2 linked regions of the Macaca mulatta genome follow. The protein of the gene in region 1 purifies or fractionates together with the protein of each later gene. This does not show direct contact. Links are inferred from orthologs where the notes say so. Each region holds a gene or a part of one and is shown in the gene's direction. Other genes may lie near its edges.

Evidence for each region. The genes of interacting proteins can lie anywhere in the genome.
Region 2: the proteins of CLTB (region 1) and CLTCL1 purify together in Homo sapiens (affinity purification with mass spectrometry; 3 studies listed by BioGRID and IntAct, with this or other methods). This does not show direct contact. The link is inferred for Macaca mulatta from reciprocal best matches to the Homo sapiens genes CLTB and CLTCL1.

The regions. Positions count from the first base shown.
Region 1 is NC_133411.1:185,349,497-185,353,249, reverse strand, and holds the start of CLTB (clathrin light chain B), read left to right. Parts: upstream 1-1,390; 5' UTR 1,391-1,565; coding exon 1,566-1,752; intron 1,753-3,753. UniProt on the Homo sapiens protein: Clathrin is the major protein of the polyhedral coat of coated pits and vesicles.
Region 2 is NC_133415.1:33,472,834-33,476,486, forward strand, and holds part of CLTCL1 (clathrin heavy chain 2), read left to right. Parts: intron 1-208; coding exon 209-406; intron 407-1,291; coding exon 1,292-1,492; intron 1,493-1,586; coding exon 1,587-1,739; intron 1,740-2,299; coding exon 2,300-2,422; intron 2,423-3,653. UniProt on the Homo sapiens protein: Clathrin is the major protein of the polyhedral coat of coated pits and vesicles. Two different adapter protein complexes link the clathrin lattice either to the plasma membrane or to the trans-Golgi network.

The DNA.
Region 1 (3,753 bases):
ATGAGAGGATCACTTAAGCCCAGGAGTTGAGGCTGTAGTGAGCTATAATCGTGCCACTACACTCTAACCTGGGCAAGAGTAAGATCCTGCCTCAAAACAAAAAACAAATACCAACAACAAAAACTCATGCAAATAGACAGCAATAAATAAATACATTAATTTAATTAAATAAAACAATTTTTAAAAAAACCTCAAAAAACCAGTAACATCAAAAGGTTCTCAAGGTGTTACCAATTAAATTGAAAGTTCCAGCTGGGCTTGGTGGCTCACACCTGTAATCCCAGTGCTTTGGGAGACCAAGGCAGGAGGATCCCTTGAGGCCAGCAGTTCAAGACCAGCCCAGTTAATATAGCGAGGCTCTGTCTCTAAATAAAAAAATTAAAAAGAAAAAAACAAAAAAACCTGGAAGTTCCCTTCACCCCAACTCCACTTCTACCCCCAGTGTGGGGGCACGTCTTTCCTTTCTCTCTTCCAGTCCATATTTCATAGTAGCCCTTCAAGTCCCACATTAGAAATAGCAGACAGCCCAAATCCCATGGTGTTTCTTTGCATCGTCTCCCTGTACCCCGTGTTTAAATGTCACAGCGCCTCACACACAGAGCCTTGACATACCATTTGCCGTCTGTTGGTCTCACTGGATTGTAATTTCCGCATGGCCATGGCTGGATTTTATAAAACGTTGCTGTCCTGGTGCTTGGCAAAGCGCAGGCAGGGAGGAGGCATTCAGAGCCTGTTCACGGAGGGCAGCGGGCAGCGGCGGAGAGTGGCAGGGTGTCTGGATAAACCAGGTCTGCCTTTCTCGGGCTAGTTCATACCTAAAGGACATTTAAGGGGTCCAGCCGGGCCATTCAAACTCTGGTCGTATGAACTGAAGCCTCCTCAAGGGACATACACACAAAAAATGCACAAAACAACACGGCCTAGTGGGAAAGGACCTGGACTTGCATGAAAAGGTGCGGGGGAGCCTTTCCCAGCCTCAATTTTCCTCCTCTTACAGAGGCGGAGGCTCATAGAATGAGGTGCATGACACCCCAGCTTAGGAGAAGAAACTTTTGCAGAATGAATCAGGAGCCAGGTCTGCGCTCCCGAGGCCAGAGCTGGCCTCCTGTCGCGGCCCAGTGCACAGAACGGCCACTTTGTGCCCTGCGCTTCGCCTTCAGACCGGGCGGGAGCTGTGCCTCGCCGCGGTGTCCTGGACACGAGCAGCTGGGCGCCGCTGCGGAGAGAGGGAAGCGCCGCGCGGGTCCCGGGCCCAGCGCTGCGCCCAGTCCTTAGGCGCCCTCCTGCGGCCGCTGCTCGGCGACCTCCCGGCCCTGCGGCTGCGGCCCCGCCCCCGCGCTGACGTCACCGCATTCCGGCTCCGCTCCTCCCGCCGCGGCGCCCGCACCGCAGTGACAGCCAGCCGGGCCCGGTGGCGGAGAGGAAGTGCGGTCCGCGCCAAGCTCGTCCCCGCCGAAGCCGGCTCCCCGCGGCTCGGGTGACAGCGTCGCGGCCGCCGGACGCAGCGCGGGGCAGGCGCGGGCAGAGCCGAGCGCAGCGGAGGCTCCGGCAGAGGCGCGGGGAAAATGGCTGATGACTTTGGCTTCTTCTCGTCGTCGGAGAGCGGGGCCCCGGAGGCGGCGGAGGAGGACCCGGCGGCCGCCTTCCTGGCCCAGCAGGAGAGCGAGATTGCAGGCATAGAGAACGACGAGGGCTTCGGGGCATCTGCCGGCAGCCATGCGGCCCCCGCGCAGCTGGGCCCCACGAGTGGGGGTGAGTCAGCGCGGGGCCTGGAGCGGGGCTCAGGGCGCGCACCCGGGGGACCCCGGCCGGGGCCCAGCGGCACAGGGTAGAGAGCCTGCTCTAGGCCAGCCGGGGCAGGAGCTGGGGGACGTGGGGAAGAATCTTCTTGGAGCTCTCCATGTAGCACTTCCGAGCTGGGGATGAGGCCTCCCCTGGGGCTGTGGATCCGGTGACTCCCGGGACAGGAATTCGGTCATGACATTTCATCCCCAGGCCAGCTTCCCCGCTGCCCGGCTCTGGAATCCAACCCCAGCTCAGTTTTGAGAGTCCCTCCTGAGCCTTCTAATAGCCTGGCTGTCCCAGGCTCCCAGCTAAGTGTGCAGGTGTGGGCAGAACACAGCCCTCCTGGCCCCTCAGGCTTAGCTCTCTCCTGCAGCTGGGAAAAAAGAGGACCCTGGGTGCTCCAGGAAGTCACTAACCTTCCCCCGTGACCACCTGCCATTCGGCAGTCGCTGGGCTAAGCGCCTTGGTTACATTTAATCACTTCATACACGTTACTGAACCCATTTCAGAGATGGTAAAACTGAGACTCAAAGGGGTATGCTATTGAAATAACTAATAAGTGGCAGATCAAGAATTTAAACCTGATTCTTTTTATTTTTTATATATTTTTTCTTTTCCTTTTTTTGAGATAGGGTCTTGTTGTGTTGCCCAGGCTGGTCTTGAACTCCTGGGCTCAAGCGATCCTCCCACATCTTCCTCCTAAAGTGTTGGGATTACAGGTGTAAGCCACCACACCTGGCCGTGAATTTAAACCTGTTTCTGTCAGACTCGAAGCCCTCTCCACCTGACCACACTGCCTTCCAAGTGTCTGGCTCTGAGTTAGACACCGGAGTGTGGGCCGCAAAGAGGCATCAGTCAGATGTGGTAGGGCCCTTCAGGGTTTTGTAGTTGTCGACTTAATGGTTTTCCAAACGTGGTCCGGAGCTATCATGATTTACTGTGATTGGCTTCAGACTTCAGAGTTCATGCCTGGTCCCTGAGAGATCATCTTTATCAATGATGTTCCTGCCCTGGTTCTGGCTAGCAAGAATGATTTTGTGAAATATTTAGTAAAAAAGTAGATATCAGCCGGGCGCGGTGGCTCTCACCTGTAATCCCAGCAGTTTGGGAGTCCAAGGCGGGTGGATCATGAGGTCAGGAGATCGAGACCGTCCTGCCTAACACAGTGAAACCCCATCTCTACTGAAAATACAAAAAATTAGCTGGGCGTGGTGGCAGGTGCTTGTAGTCCCAGCTACTTGGGAGGCTGAGGCAGGAGAATGGCGTGAACCCGGGAGGCAGAACTTGCAGTGAGCTGAGATCGCGCCACTGCACTCCAGCCTGGGTGACAGAGCGAGACTCCGTCTCAAGAAACAACAACAAAAAAAGTAGACATCACTTTCATGGGTGCATCCAAAACAGGTTTTACTTCCTGTTAATGTCATTTTGGAGTGGTTTATGGACCTGTTGTAATAGTGCTGACATATATACATATAGATATATTTTGGTTAATGGTGTTTACAAGGCTCTTCACAGTCATGTGTGTATTCATTCAACATTTGCTGAGCACCTACTGTGTGCCAGGACACTAGGGATACAGAAATGAATAAGACAGTTCCTGTGGCTGAGGAGTTTGAAGCATCTCTGTATCTCCTTGATATGAGAAATGTAACCAGGCTTTTGTAACATGCAAGAAACTGGTGGCCCAGAGAATCTGAGTATCTTGCCCAGAGTCACACAGCCAGGAGTGACCGATCTAGGGCTTGATCCCACACCTCCCAACTCTGGGCTCCATTCTCTTTCAAATGCTGTGGAGCCTGGGCAACATGGTGAAACCCCATCTCTACAAAACATACGAAAATTAGCCAGGCGTGGTGACATGTAGCTGTAGTTGTAGTTCCAGCTACTCGGGAAGGCTGAGCCAGGAGCATCGCTTGAGTCCGTGAGGTGTAGGTAGGTTGCAGTGTGCTGTGATCATGCCACTGCACT
Region 2 (3,653 bases), on another chromosome or scaffold:
GGGATGGTAGAGGGAACATGACAGAGGGATGGTAGAGGGGAACATGACAGAGGGATGGTAGAAGGAACATGGCCGAGGGATGGTAGAGGGAACATGGCCGAGGGATGGTAGAGGGAACATGGCCGAGGGATGGTAGAGGGGAACATGGCTGAGGGATGGTAGAGCACTCTTCTAGGCCGGGCCGCTCTCACTTGTCGGGTCCTTACAGGTGCTGTCAGTTTGTGTTGAGGAAGATAATATTGTGAATTATGCAACCAACGTGCTTCAGAATCCAGACCTTAGTCTGCGTTTGGCCATTCGTAGTAACCTGGCTGGGGCAGAGAAGTTGTTTGCGAGAAAATTCAGTACCCTCTTTGCACAGGGCAGCTATGCTGAAGCCGCCAAAGTTGCAGCATCTGCACCAAAGGTGATAAACCTTGAATACTGTTCAAGTGTTCTGAGTGTTAAGAACCAACCTTGAGAGGAAAATAAGTCATAAAAGCATTTCACTACTGGTATTGCAGTCTATTCGTGTTATGTTAGGAGTTTTTAGTTTAAAATTTTTGCACCAATGGCTTAACAGTAAGGGAAGTAAACAAAAAGCACACTCTTGCTGCATCAGCACTTCTTCCTGTCTCCCACTTTGTGTGCATACATACCTCTCATCCAATGGCTTGGGTACAGTTTCACATTTTCGCAACTCAGAATTTTCCACTCTTGCTGCCTGGTTGTCAAATATGCAACTGTACAATACACCAAGTGGTTGATCCCTGTTTTATTTAGCAATAGTCCTGCTCTGGACTTCCTCCACTCTTTCAGAATATAGCATTTCTGCATAAGGCTTTTTCTTTAGTTTATTTCATTTGGATAAATTGTTCAGAGACTGGATCTGCTCCTGAGTAGATAAAGACTTTCAAGTTGCTGGTCCTTGAAAGAATTTTTCTTGTCTTTCAAGGGGTGGTTATGAACAAACCATTTCTAGCCTTCATCTGTGAATGTGAGTATTTTGAATTAGAATATAATGATAGCAGAACTTCACTACTACAAGACTGATTGAGAGGCTGAATTCTCACTGCAGCATGCTGGGGGAGAAGTAAGGCCCTAAGTGTGAAGCCACCTGGAGGACCTAGATCCCCCATATTTATGGTTCTTATTGAAGATAGAAGCGGTTGCCTTAGTAGAGGACATTTTGTCCATGACAGAGCAGTGTGGAATTTCCACTGGCAGATTTTTGTTTTTACATAGAAGCAAGTTGAGTGAAGGGATCCCCCGTGATTACAACACAATGACCTATTTTTCCATTTATTACTAGGGAATCCTGCGTACCAGAGAGACGGTCCAGAAATTCCAGAGTATACCCGCTCAGCCTGGCCAGGCTTCTCCATTGCTGCAGTACTTTGGAATCCTGCTCGACCAGGGTCAGCTCAATAAACTTGAATCCCTAGAACTTTGCCATCTGGTTCTTCAGCAGGGGCGTAAGCAACTCCTAGAGAAGTGGCTGAAAGAAGATAAGGTAGAAACACTTGTGAGATGGTAGCCCCCCGCACAGCTTGGTCCAGGCTCCCTGCCCACCTCCTAACTTTGCCTTGTCCCTTGGCGTACCACAGCTGGAGTGCTCAGAGGAGCTCGGAGACTTGGTCAAAACCACTGACCCCATGCTCGCTCTGAGTGTGTACCTTCGGGCAAACGTGCCAAGCAAAGTGATCCAGTGTTTTGCAGAAACAGGCCAATTCCAGAAAATTGTGCTCTATGCCAAAAAGGTAACGTGTGTTGAACCATCTGCATCCCACTCAACATGTGGTTGAGTGGTTGCTGATTTAAAGTTTATAAAATACCCTTCTTTATAAGTCCTCTGGTGTGAGAGTTGGCAGTGTTGCTATTAGGATCTTTATTGATATTGATCATATTGCATTTTCTTCAGTTTTTTATTTTCCTTAGTTTTCCAGTCCTTCCATCTTCTTTTTATTTGGGAGCTTTATCTTGTTTTTTCTCTCCCTCTCTTCCTTCTGTATGTTAATTTGATATTTTGGCAGACTTCCAGATCTTGTCCCTGTGTGCTCACTGGCAGGCTGTGTTTGCACACAGATCAGGGAACTTATTTGTGGTCTGGGCTGTTTGTATAGTTAATTGTGCCTTCCATGGACATGAAATCAATTTATTTAATTGGATATTGTGTTTGGCAGAAGGTGGTACCTACAAATGATAATGTTGCTGCTCATTTCTTTGTTAACATGAGTTTAAAACAAAGGATAGATAACTTCCTTTTCTAATGCCCAGGGTTTTTCATTGATTTTCCTGATTGGTGCTCCCTTGCTTCTAGGTTGGGTACACCCCAGACTGGATCTTTCTGCTGAGGGGTGTAATGAAGATCAGTCCAGAACAGGGCCTGCAGTTTTCTCAAATGCTAGTGCAGGACGAGGAGCCACTGGCTGACATTAACCAGGTGAGCATAGGCAGTTTTGGACAACTTTTTGTGGCTTTTTAGAGCCATCTAGAAGATTCCTTTATTCATTTCCTGTTAACTTGTCTCAATGCTTTTCTTCATCTGCTATTAATCTTCCAGTTTTAAAAAATCTAGTGTACTTGGGGAGTTTGTCTTCTAGTCTTTACTATGTGAGTACTCATTGCTTCTTTTGTTTTGAAGTACTTTAGAGAATGTTTGCGTGGGTTTGTGTCTTTGGGTGGTGATGGTGTAGGGTGTGAGGATGTCATTTAGGATCCAGCCCTCCATCCCTCTCCCCACCCCAGTTACCACATCATTGTCTCTCCCTGACCATTGGCCTGAGCACCAGGAGCTAGTGCTGTTGCATCCCCGAAATGTTCATCCTGTGGGTGTCTGACTGACCTGGATCTACGTGAGCATCAGCCTGTTTTTTAGTGTAACCTACTTAGAATTTAGATGTAAACACATGACAAGTCACTTTCAGTCAATTGGTACAAGGAGCTCTGATGATATATAGATGTGTAACAAAGCTTGAAGCAAGGCATCAGGGCCAACAACTGTTTAGAAATAATAAGTGCAGTTATATGTGTTTATATGTCTGGGAATTTGCAGATATTTTGGAGAACATGAATAAGAGATTTGAGACAAATTTACTTAGCTTTCAATAGGAAAGAAATTTCCAGTTCACATCTTGTTTCTAGTTCATATTTTAAAGTTGTTTAAAATATAAACTTCTCATACTTTATGAGAACTTCTACAATTACTAAGTTCTTTTTTATTTTCCTGTAAAGCTGTCCTTCAAAAACAATTACTAAATTTATTCCTATATTTCACATCTTAGTGAGGCATATTAATTATTTAAATTAACATCAATTTAACTTTAATAATTGTCTAAGTAAATGTTTGCATTTTCCCAGTTGTGCCCCAATAATATAATGATATATATGGGTTAAATATCAAGTATCAGCTGCTTTGTTAGTCAAGATTCTGCAGAGACAGAATCAGTAGCGTAGCTCTAGCTATATGAGAGGGAGCCTGGGCAACATAATGAGACCCCATCTCTACCAAAAAATTTTTAAAACTTAGCCAGGCGTGGTGGTGCACACCTGTGGTCCCAGCTACTCAGGAGGCCGAGATGGGAGGATCGCTTGAGCCTTGAAGGTTGAGGCTGCAGTGAGTGGTGACCTTGTCACTGCTTTAGCCTAGGCAATAGAGTGAGACCCCATCTCAG